Linked DNA regions of Callithrix jacchus. The protein of the gene in region 1 purifies or fractionates together with the protein of each later gene. This does not show direct contact. Links are inferred from orthologs where the notes say so. Each region holds a gene or a part of one and is shown on either strand. Other genes may lie near its edges.

The links.
Region 2: the proteins of ARPC1A (region 1) and ARPC5 fractionate together in Homo sapiens (co-fractionation; 8 studies listed by BioGRID and IntAct, counting the BioPlex papers as one, with this or other methods). This does not show direct contact. The link is inferred for Callithrix jacchus from reciprocal best matches to the Homo sapiens genes ARPC1A and ARPC5.

The regions. Positions count from the first base shown.
Region 1 is NC_133503.1:14,252,116-14,258,136, reverse strand, and holds the start of ARPC1A (actin-related protein 2/3 complex subunit 1A), read left to right. Parts: upstream 1-2,011; 5' UTR 2,012-2,114; intron 2,115-6,021. UniProt on the Homo sapiens protein: Probably functions as a component of the Arp2/3 complex which is involved in regulation of actin polymerization and together with an activating nucleation-promoting factor (NPF) mediates the formation of branched actin networks.
Region 2 is NC_133519.1:41,805,483-41,811,694, reverse strand, and holds the start of ARPC5 (actin-related protein 2/3 complex subunit 5), read left to right. Parts: upstream 1-2,600; 5' UTR 2,601-2,695; coding exon 2,696-2,839; intron 2,840-5,146; coding exon 5,147-5,218; intron 5,219-6,212. UniProt on the Homo sapiens protein: Component of the Arp2/3 complex, a multiprotein complex that mediates actin polymerization upon stimulation by nucleation-promoting factor (NPF).

The sequences.
Region 1 (6,021 bases):
TCGTGGGCTCACCCTACTCACCTCATGTGCCATCGGATTCCTAATAGGCAACAGACCAGTACTGGTCAGCAGCCAGGAGGTTGGGGACACCTGCAGTAACTCGAAAGAACACAGCAGGTCTGGACAGGAGAGGTGGCTCATGCCTGTAATCCTAGCAGTCTGGAAGGCTGAGGTGGGCGGATCACCTGAGATCAGGAGTTCAAGACCAGCCTGGCCAACGTGGTGAAACCCCGTCTCTACTAAAACTACAGAAATTAGGTTGGCCTAGTGGCACGCGGCTGTAGTCCTAGCTACTTGGGAGGCTGAGGCAAGAGAATCACTTGAACTCAGGAGGCAGAGGTTACAGTGAGCCGAGACTGTGCCACTGCACTCCAGCCTGGGCAACAGAGCAACACTCTGTCTCAAAAAAAAAAAAAAAGAATAACATATCAGGTCTGAAACTGAGAGTTTGACAAGTATACCTACGTAAACCTCAACCTGCAACCAAGCACTGGGATAAAATATGTAAATACCAAAGGGAAGGAGACAAATCCTTGGTTGGCCTGGCACAGGGGCAGGGCTCACACCCAGTGCTTTGGGAAGCAGAAGCTGAAGGACTACCTGAGCCCAGGGGTTCAAGAACAGCCTGTACAATATAGGAAAACCCCATCTCTACAAAAAAATATATAAAAATTAGCCAGGCACAGTGGCTCACACCTATAATCCCAGGGCCTTGGGAAGCTAAAGAGGGAGGATCGCTTCAGCCCAGGAGTTCAAGACCAGCCTGGGCAACACTGCAAGACCCTGACTCTACCAAAAAATAAAAATTAGCTGGCCAGGCACAGTGGCTCACGCCTGTAATCCCAGCACTTTGGGAGGCCGAGGCGGGCGGATCATCTGAGGTTGGGAGTTCGAGACCAAGCCTGACCAACATGGAGAAACCCTGTCTCTACTAAACACAAAATAATGACCGGGCATGGTGGTGCATGTCTGTAATCCCAGCTACTCGGGAGGCTGAGGCAGGAGAGTCGCTTGAAACCAGGAGGCAGAGATTGCAATGAGCCAAGATTGTGCAACTGCACACCAGCCTGGGCAACATGAAACAACGTCTCTAAATAAATAAATAAAAATAAAAATTAGCCAGACGTGGTGGTGTACACCTGTAGTCCCAGCTACTTTGGAGGCTGGGGCGGGAGGACCGCTTGTGCCCTGAAGTTCCTGGCTGCACTGAGCTATGATCGAGCCACCGCACTCCAGCCTGGGCTACAGATCGAGACCCTGTCTTAATGAAAAAAAGAAAGAAAGAAAAAGAATAACAAAAAGGAAAGCTCTCGATTAGTCCCATCCGTGGGGGCTGAAGCTGCTCCAGAATTTCTACGGGTTCAAGGGCAGCAGCCTAGTTGCAGATGGGGGAACCACGGCAAACCTCAGAAGCTGTCCTCTGTGAACTGGGGGCATAGCCTAGCTCCCCCAACCTTTTTCCCTGCGGCGCCATCTTGGGAGAAAGGAACAAGTGACTCTGCCCCGCGAAGATTCGAGAAGGTTCCTGGGGGACTTCAGGGGCTTTCCACAGTGGAAGCACGGCGGGGGCGGGGGCTCCCTGCACGAAGCAGCGCTGAGGTCGACTGGTTCTGACCTGGGCTCTCTGAAGAGAGAAAAACTCAATCGTTGGTCAGGTCCAGGAGCTCCAAAGACCCCCCAATCCTCAGTCACTTATTTCCTGACAAAAGAACTTGCGAAACTGCCGAGGCGCCACACTTTGGCTCGCGATTGTGAGGAAACTGATTGAGGAACGGAATGGGACGCCCATGCCGCTTCGCCAGCACTTGACAGGCGTTCCGTGGGGCCACATTCCCTCTGAAAGGCCACCGCCTGTGCCGCAGCAGCAGCAAATCCGACCGCGTACCCTTCCTCACCACAGTCTACCTAAACCCGGACTGCGCGCCTGTGCTATGCGCATGCGCAGACCGCCCGCACGGCCTCACCGCGCAGGCGCCGTGGCTATTTCCGGGATCTGTCAGCCGCTCCCTCTGGGCTTCCGTCCTCCGCCCGCGCCCGCCGGAGCCTGTTCGCGTCGACTGCCCAGAGTCCGCGAATCCTCCGCTCCGAGCCTGTCTGGACTCCCCGGACCCCAGGTAACGGCCAGCAGGGGCAAGCGTCTCACCCTGTCGGCCTCTCTTGTCCCGGTCTCGCGCCGGACTTGGACCCGCGGGGGCGGTGAGGTGGGGGCTTAGGCCGCGGGGCCCCGAGGCTGAGGCGCGGCCGGGTCTGCTGGGGCCTCCTGAGGGGGCGGGGATCCCCTTTCTCCGCGGGTTCCCTGGAGTTTCTCTCTTGATGTTCAAGCTCCTAGCCGTCTCCAATGCCAGAATTAACGACCTATTCTGCGCCCCAGGGTCCTGATTGCACCTCTGCTGGGGACATTTGTCACCGTCTCTAAAATTGTGTCAAGCAGGAGAATCCCCTAATCGAGCGTCCCGCGGGACCATTCATCTCTTTAGCGTCTGGAGTCGATCCCTGCATACAGCAGGCGCCCATAGGATGTTTGCCTCCTCTCTAGGCAGCCCTCAATCTTTCAGTTACTGGGGAACCTTTCCGATCTCGAGAAAAACCTTCTTCTGAGTTCTTTCAGATCCCCCTGCATGAGTACCGCCTTCCCCCAAGTCAAAATCGCACCCTTCTCGGCTCTCCTGTTCGTAAAATCTTTTATGCCAGTCTTGGCACCACCACTTTGTTGGGTGATCCTGGGAAGACTGCTTCTCTGTGCCTGTTTTCCTCATGCAATAAAAAAGATTCTTACTGTTTTGCTAAGGATCAAATGAGCTTATTTGCATAAATTGCTTAGAATAGTTCCTGGCCTAGAGTAGGTGATCAATAAATATTCACTATCATTACTGCTTCTGGGCGTTCTGTGCATATCTGTCTCCCTTTCCTTTTCTACCTTCTCCACTCTTAGCAACCACCAACCCTCCAGACTTGAAGACCAGAATGGTGTCAGCCTTATTTATGTTTCTGTCCCCATCCCAGTATTTACAACACTGCTGGGAACATGGTAGGCACTTAATAAATTATAGCTTAGAATCTTTGATTATAAAGCCATCTGTTCTACTGCAGCTTTGGAACCTTCTGTCTGTGTCAACTCATAGCTTAAATTGCCGAGATTATCTTAATTCTGCCCTCTCTTCTCAATTTTATCTAGTCTTTCGGTTTTACATAGGCCCTGAGTTTTCAGGTAAAAACAAAGGAGGGGTATCAGTCAGGAAGCTGTTTTTGCCCCGTTAGGAAGTGGGTAACTGTGTGGCTGTTTTCTTCCTTTTTTTTCCTGCCCTGCAGCCTCGACCTCCTGGGCTTAAGAGATCCTCCCACCTCAGCCCCCTGAGTAGCTAGGACAACAGGCATGTGCCACCACAGTGGGTGAATTTTCATTCATTCATTTATTTTTCTGGAGACAGAGTCTCACTCTGTCACCCAGACTGGATAGAGTGCAGTGGCATGGTTCAAGCAATTTTCCCGCCACAGCCTCCTGAGTAGCTGGGATTACAGGGTGAGCCACCACGCCTGGCTAATTTTTTTTTTTTTTTTTTTTTTTTGTATTTTTTGTAAAGACAAAGTCTCGATATGTGGCCCAAGCTGGTCTGAAGCTCCTGAGCTCAAGCTCTCCCCCCACCTCAACCTACCAAAGTGCTGGGATTACGGGTGTGAGCCACGACACCCAGCTTATATGGCTATTTTCTCCCATATTCGGAGTATGTATTAGAAGATCTTGTGGAGTTCATCTACTAATCACACTTAAAGGAAGGGATCATTTTGGAAAACTCTTGTTTTGGAGGTGGAGTTGCCATACTTTAATCTAATTGTTTCCCAGTGCTGAAACAAATCCTTCATGAAGAAGTTTAAAATGGTCTCTTGGTGAGGTTGGTGCCTGGACTGGAGCCTGTCTGAACATTGAGGAGGGTGTGGTGACCTTGTTGGATTACTTGATATTGCTGGGTTGGGTAATGAGAGTGGTTAGAAACTAGGTGAATCACGGTCTTAAAAACTGACCCAAAACCAGGGACAGAAATTCCCACTTGTGTGAATACTTTCAAGCTCCAAAGGAGTAGGGCCAAGAATTTATAGCAAATGTCAACAATTATAAGCTCAGAGGAAACTAACTGCTGGGTTCTATGGTTGGTTTAAAAGCCTTGGGTCAAAGGAAGAAAGGGAACCTACTGACATGTATTTCAGAATAGGCTCTGTACTACTTGCTTTCACACGTTGTCTCATTTAATTCTCCTTGTGATGTCAGTGGTATATCCACTTTACAGAGGGGAAAAAAAATGAGATTGAGAAATATTAAGTGACTTGCCCAGGGTCTCATAGCTAGTGTGTGTCAAAGCCAGGATTCAAAGCCAGCCTTGGCTTCAGAGCCCATGGCTAGCCATACATCAGAATAACTCTATACACAGTGATAAAGAAAAGGGATGGGGGGCAGGCACGGTGGCTCATGCCTGTAATCTTAACACTTTGGGAGGCTGAAGTGGGCAGATCGCTTGAGCCCAGGAGTTTGAGACCAGCCTGGGCAACATAGAGAGATCCTTGTCTCTACAAAAAAATTAAAAGTAGCAGGGCATAGTGATGCATGCCTGTGGTCCCAGCTACTCAGGGGGCTGAGGCGAGAGGGTGGCTCACATTTTTATTTGTCCCCTTTTCTTCCTCTCTAGCTCTACTAAGACAAAGCTTTTCAGATTTCATTTAAACATTAACCATAGTTTAGAAGTTATAATTATCACCCTATGACAGAAGGTACCCTTTCTTAGTATATAATTCAGGCTATTAGGAATTTCTTCTGCATTCACTGGGTTTCATGAATGCAAGCTGTGTTTGCTAGGTGCATTCTAAATTTGACAAACATGAGTGTTGTCCTGGCCTACAGACTTAAAATAGCCATATGATTAAAAAAGAAGTACAGGTCTTGAGTATATGTCCAAACATGGAACTTGAATGATATGGCAAAATTAGAAATGCACACCGTTGTGTAAATGGTCACCTCTTTTGAAGTCTTTGGTACTTTGCTAATAAAACTGAGTTGAAAAATGAGAAAGCCTTTTGTCTACAGCTGTGCTTTTCAACTGGACATGAAACACGTACTTTTATGGCACAAAGATATTCACATCAAATTACTGATTTGCAGAGCAGTTTTATTTTCAGTTAACAAAGAAGCTTATCAAATGTGGCTTTTGAACTAAACCACTTTTAATTAAGGAGCTATTTTATGACACAATGTGTTATTTTGAGTAGCTGTAACTAAAATCTGTTGTGATGGAACAATTTGGAGTGAGCATCTGATATCAGAGATAAAGAGAGAAGCCTGCAGTGAGCATCTGGAAGTCTTAAAAAAAAATTAAACATTCTCATTTGAATTCATCTAAAATTTTTAAAATTGCCAATTCCTAAGCTCTTTCTTTGTCAGTCGTAGTTTGCTTTCTTGACTGTATAACAGAAAAAAGTAATGACTTAAGTATCTTCACTCTTAGAATGGAATGTGAAATGCTGACATTTCTCTGCCAGTTCAAGATATCAGATGTTATTTATTTAAAGTTGCACTTACTTTAGTTCGCCCTTTTTTTTTTGTTTTGATACAGAGTCGCACTCTGTTCCCCAGGCTGCAGTGCAGTGGCACCATCTTGGCTCACTGCAACCTCCACCTCCCATGTTCAGGTGATTCTCATGCCTCAGCTTCCGGAGTAGCTGGAATTATGGGTGCCTGCTACCATGTCTGGCTAATTTTTGTATTTTTAGTAGAGACAGGGTTTCACCATATTGGACAGGCTGGTCTCAAACTCTTTACGTCAGGTGATTCATCTGCTTTGGCCTCCCAAAGTGCTGGAATTAAAGGATTGAGCCATCGCTCCCAGCCTGGGTTTCTTTACAGTTAGCAAAGGTGCTGCTTCTGCTTTCTAACTGAGATTAATTTCTGCTTTGTCAGCTGAACTCTCATTGTTCACTTTACAACCTTCTAGTGGCCCTTCCATTCATTTCCTGCTTGCATCAGAATTCATATCT
Region 2 (6,212 bases), on another chromosome or scaffold:
ACGTGTTGAGTACCTATTATGTACTTGGCACTTAGAACATTGTGAGACAATAAAAAATACTGCATTAGAAAATGACATTTTTCACATCTTATACGTAATATTTGGCTGGCAATTAATTACATTTAACACATTCAGCATATAGTGCAAAATTCTGAACAATCGATTCCCTTGAGCAATCGATTGTTCAAATTCCTTTTGCTATTCCCTTAAGTTTATTTCTATTCTGGGATTCTTTTGTAGTTCTCAAATAAGAAAACAAAGAATTCTAAATCAGACAATACAAAAGAATAGAAATGTAAGAGATGTATTAGCTATTGAATCCTTGTTTCCACTTGCTCTCAATAGTGCCTCTAATGTTCGATTTTCTCTTCAAAGAAAAATCTAGATTTAAAAAGAAGAAAAAGTACAATCACCTTTACATCTAGTTAGCTAAGACTGAAACTGAAAAAAATTGTAAAATAAATCTTTATTCTATGTTATATAATGCCATTCACCATATAATGATTTTATACTTTGGTATATGGCTTTTTAAAATAAATATTACCAACAGGTAAAATTTTTTCCTTTCCTGTCTTAAGACAGTCCTAAGAGAATTTTTACCAATGTGTCTGTTCATAACTTGAATGTTAATTTAAAGCAATGTTACTTCTATCACCTAAATGTTATACTTACAAAAGAGTGATTTAACTGGGAACAGAAAAATGACACATTGCTTCTTCCCAAGAAAAAGGGATGCATTCCATTCTTGAGGTCTCTCTCCCACTCTCTCTCTATTTATATATAATATACTGCATAGATAAATATACACACACGTACGTATGTATTTTTTCAAACTTAGAGAAGACTGAACATATGTATTTATATGTATATATCCAACAAATGTTTAATTTTAAAATCTCTCTTCCTCTTCTGATTTATTATTCTCGGTATGGTTCTCAAACTGTACAGTCTTTCACATTTCATTCATTCATCAAGCATGTATTGAGTCCCTTCTGCATGCTTAGCTTTATGTCAGATAGAAGGAAAATACAAAAGAAAAACTGTCTCTGCCCTTCAGAATCTTTCTAGAAGATAAAGCACCACATATCATTGAGCAATTTATAAGACTACTGCCAAAACCAATGGTACAAGTAACATGCCTTTGACATTTATGTAGAATTTTAGAGCTTGGAAACCCTTCCATGATATTTAATCCTAAGAACGATCTTGTGAAGTACACATTATTAGCTCCATTTCAGTGATGAGGAATCTGAGACAGAATTTTAAGTGACATGCCTCATTCAAATATTATGAGTGGAAGAGTCAAGACTTCAGCCTGAGTTTTCTGATTCTAAGCCCAGTGTTCGACACAGCACAGGAAACCAAAGATTGAGGTACACAACAGGGCAACAGCCAGTCTTCTGCTCAAGGTCCAACTAAACTGGACCCACACCTGAGCAGTGTCCAGCCAATGTCCAAATTAATTTTATCCTGCAAATATTTGTTCTTCAGTGTAATACACACAGCACAACTACCATTTCCTTCGTCTTAGTAGTACCTTTATCTCCTACATTCCAGAAATGGGGATGTCAAATAATTTTTTAAAAATCTGGCCTAGATGGAATCATATCAATCTTAAATCATAATATAAATCTCAAAGGTCTGTTTTCCACTAATCCTACACATTTTTCCCCAGCACTAGAGAGCCTAACTTACCCTCACCCTCTTCGAGCATTCTTGCTCCAAACAACCACCTATTTTAAGATGCCAATGACCCTTTCCCAAATTCTACAAATTCACCCCAGTTTTGTAGAACCCGACCCCAGCGCCTGCCAGGACACCTTCCCCTCCCTCTGAATGGATATGATACCGAGTTCAGGTTCTGCAGATCCCGTCGCGATGCTGTCACACAGCACTGACAGATAAGATTTGACCTTTCGACTCCGTCCTTGGGGACCTCCCGCTGGACAAGTAGGGTAGTTCCAACCCCAGGAAACGGGCTTCCTGCTCAGGAACGCAGCCCCTGGCAGCGCACAGTCCGAGGCAACGTCTTCGGCAATTAGAACGATGCTGGGCGCCCGGGTGTGCATCACTCCGCCTCATACTCCTGCCAACTGCAGGGGACTCGGTCCGGCAGCCAGTCCATCCCACCCACAGCCAAGTCCCAGCCAGCCGGACCTTACGCAGGACCCCGATGACAGGTCGTTGATGGCTGCAGCAAAAGCCAAGGCCACCCGCCGCTGCTGCCCATCGCCGCCAACCTCAGACCCCTCAGACTGGACCGGAGAAAAGCGTTTCTATGGGAACCCCTGGGAATCACGTGACGCACTCGGACGACCAATCGCCTCTTACCTCTGCCCGCCGTCCGTCTTTCTGCCCTCCCTCTCGCCCCCGCCTCCTTCGCCCCGCCCCGCCCCTTTCCTGCGGAGAGCCCGGGCCTGCGCGCTGTGTCCTGAGCCCGGGCCTGCGCGCTCCCTCCCTCGCGCGCGCTCCCCGTGGAAGAGCGGGGGCGGCGTGGGAGGCGCCAGGAGAGCGTGAACCTGAGGAGGAAGAAGCGAGGCCGGCGCGCAGGCCCAGAACCGTCCGAGTCACGGCTGCCGGCGACGCCCCAGAACGGAAGAGGGAAGTGAATCAGGCGTCGGGCAGTGGGCTGCTGGGCTGGGCTTGCTGAGGTAGAGGCAGCAACAAGAGGCTTTTGCCGCTGGTCGGGATTGGGATGTCGAAGAACACAGTGTCGTCGGCCCGGTTCCGGAAGGTGGACGTGGATGAATATGACGAGAACAAGTTCGTGGACGAAGAAGATGGGGGCGACGGCCAGGCCGGGCCCGACGAGGGCGAGGTGGACTCCTGCCTGCGGCAATATCCTTGCATTTGCCGCCCTCCCCACCCCAGCCCAGCCAGCTCTTCTTCGGGGACCCGGGCGCCTGCAGGATCCGCGGGGCACCGGCGCGGAACTGCACTCTCAACCCGCGACGAAACCTATCTCTTTGGGGTCTCCCGCTCTGCGAGGGCATGGGGAGCTTCCGTTTCCTCCCCAGTAGCCGGGAGACGCGAGGGTCCCACTCTTGGAAGCCTGCCCTCCCCCGCGCGCCTTCCACGCCCCCCGATTCCTCAGGTTGCGCCCGAGTGCCTGCCTCGGCTACGGGTCCCGCCGGCCGCGCCCTCGCGGAGCAGGGGAAGGCGGCCCGGGCTGGTGGGCAAGGCTGGTGCCGAGCGCTTAAGTTTTTCTTCCTAGAACTCTATTTTCTGGGGTCACATTCTCTCCAGAAATCTCCGATGGTGGGGACCCGACGTCTTTCCATAGTGGCTTTGTTTTTTGTTGTGTTTTTCTTATTGGTAGCATTAAGGTAGTTTATTCCTTACTGAGGGGGAGCGGGGAGATGGAAAGGTTCGAAAATTGAGGCCTCCTGTGCTTTCAGCCCATTGGCTTTAAAAAAAAAGGGGGGGGGGATTTGGCAAAGTATACATTGCACAGAATTTGTTAATCGGGGGAGGAGAATGAATACAAAAAATACAAAACTTGGAGCCTTTTACCTGCTAAGAAAAGGATAATGAAAAAAAGACGGGGAACGCATGTGGAGAATCCTTGGAAATATTTAAAATAAACCCCAATGAATAAGAAGATGAGTCATTTGTATAAAGCAGAATCATTTTTGTAATCCTAAAATTGATTCCATGTTAGTTAAAATATGGCTGTCAGTTCCTGGTTTCTGGTTTTTGCATATTTGAATATTCATCAATTTTGATTCGCGTATGCATCGGATCTTTTTTAGAGCGATGTAAATGCTGCAAAAATCCGAGGCTGTCGTTTTAGAGAATCTCGGTTACTGGGTTTGCATGCACTTCTCTTGAGTGTATTCATAAGGAAGACTCTCCTCAACAATGTCCTGTTAAATTATATTGGGGAGATGTGTGAGTGAAAATGTTTAATGGCAACTGTATTCTTTTATAAAGGCACCTAAATACAGCATTAAACATTTATCAATGTATAGGTATTGCTTTGATTGCCACAACTTTCACAGTTAGCTGTTGCTCTTTTGCATTATTTAAATACTTCAGTGCTTGGGGGTCATAAAGAAATGAGCCAGTCTACGTAAGGCATGCTTCTCTAGAAATCCCTGCAGCTTATCAACCAGAGATTTTGTGTGTGTGAGACCTTTTTCTTCAGAAGATAAAGGGTGAACATTCTTTGTAAAAACATTATTTGAGATGGATGATGTTTTATGAAACCCCAATGTATTTTAGGTAATTTGTGGTGACTCTTAAATGTTACTGCTGTATCCCTATCAGTGGATCTGCTTTTTCATCAGTTCATCTTAAAATATAAAGATACTGTCTCTTCTTACTCTTACATACAGCCAGGAAAGACAGCCCTAGTGGTGGGGTGCTGGAGATGGAGGAACGAGTGAACTCTGTGGTTTTCCTTTTAGGGGAATGGCTGAACATTCTGACAGTCTGATTGGCCTTCCGTTTCTCATGCTTGCTAACTCACTAGTGCTTTCAAAAAGAGTCTGAATTTAATAGGTATGGTCTAACACAGTTTGAATAACCTTTGTAAAATATGAGAGAAAGTATCTAAAGCAAAAACTTAGGCTGCCACCTAAGGGTCATATGAATTATTACATCTTCTATGATGCCTCTTTTCATCAATATTGAGAGATTGCTAATGTCTATCATTCAGATGGCTAATCTGCCAGCATTTTCTACCAGCATTTTAGTTAATATAGAATATAGTTCTAGTAAAAGTTTGGTCTTTACTTTTTCAACTAGAATCACATGAAAAAACATATTTTAGTTGATAATCGGTTATTTCATTTGGGGGACTAATAATTCTGATACATATCTTAGGGTTTCTTCTTAGGGTTTCTCCAGGTAATGTTTGCATATGTGTCTAACTGGGAAATGAAAGATTATCAAGGTATTCATTTGATAGTTAGAACCAGGGGCGAGCCAGTCTTTGCTTTATTAAAAAGAAATTCTAATGTTCTGTTTTGCTTTTGATATTTTGCCCTTGATTAACATCCTAGAAACCAACACATTGAATATCTGGTATTGAACATGGTAACCAAAGTAATTTTCTTTTTATATATAAAGTCTTAAGAACCGGTGGTTATAATGCTTTCCTGGGGGCCATCCTTTTGTTGCTATACCCTTAACCTCCACCACAGGAAACATGACAGCTGCCCTACAGGCAGCGCTGAAGAACCCCCCTATCAACACCAAGAGTCAGGCGGTGAAGGTGAGTGGCAGACACAACACAGTGACCTCTGAGATATCTTATTCTTAGCAAACTCTTCTGCAGTTGCAAAAAACAACAACAGTATTTTTTACCTTTTTCTATCTTTGACATAGAATAGCTTCTAATGTAGTTTGATAGGCAAGAATTTCACATGAAAAAGTAGCCCTGTAATGTAGAGTTACAATAATGCTGCGTGGTAAGACACAGTAAGTTCAAATGATAGTGAAATCATCTGTGTGTGTTTTTAGAGAAGACCACTCATGCTGAATTTAGACAAAGGCTTGAAAAATAACAAACCTTTACAAAAGTAAACAGATTGTAATTGCTTTTTAAAGATTTTTTTAAAAACATACAAATACTAAATGTTTATTGTAGAAGGCTCAGACATATGGAAAGGTTAAAAAGATAGTAGCCATAGTCCCACCACCCAGAGATGTTACTACTTTTGGGCCTTCCTATATTGTTACAGAGTTCCCTTTTGTTTTTTAAGAATGAAATTTTATAACCTGCTTTTTCAGCAGTATGCAATGTACATGAGCTTTCCTTTGCATTAAGTTTATTTCTATAGCATTTTTAACAGCTGTATATGGATAAGCTGCAGTGTATACATAATTAATGTTTTGTTATATATTTAGACTGTTTTTTTCTTGTTGTAAACCACTGAAATGAATATTTTTTGGTAAATTTTTGATTACTCGCTTTCAATAAATGCATAGCCATGAATTATTGAATCAAAGAATGCACTTTTTTTAAGGCTTTTGATATATGTGGTATTGCCAAATTGCCCTTCAGAACAGTTGTGCAACTTACATTCTCTGCAGTCTTTTACTAATTCTTAAGAACCTATTTTTACGTATTTATTTAAAATGATGTCCATAGCATCAACCGCATTGTCCATAGCTATCATGCATCCTAGGAGCTTCAAGAATCTCAATTGAATAGTAGTAAGTAATAACTTAGGTAAATGCATAATAATTATCTAGGCAACATCATG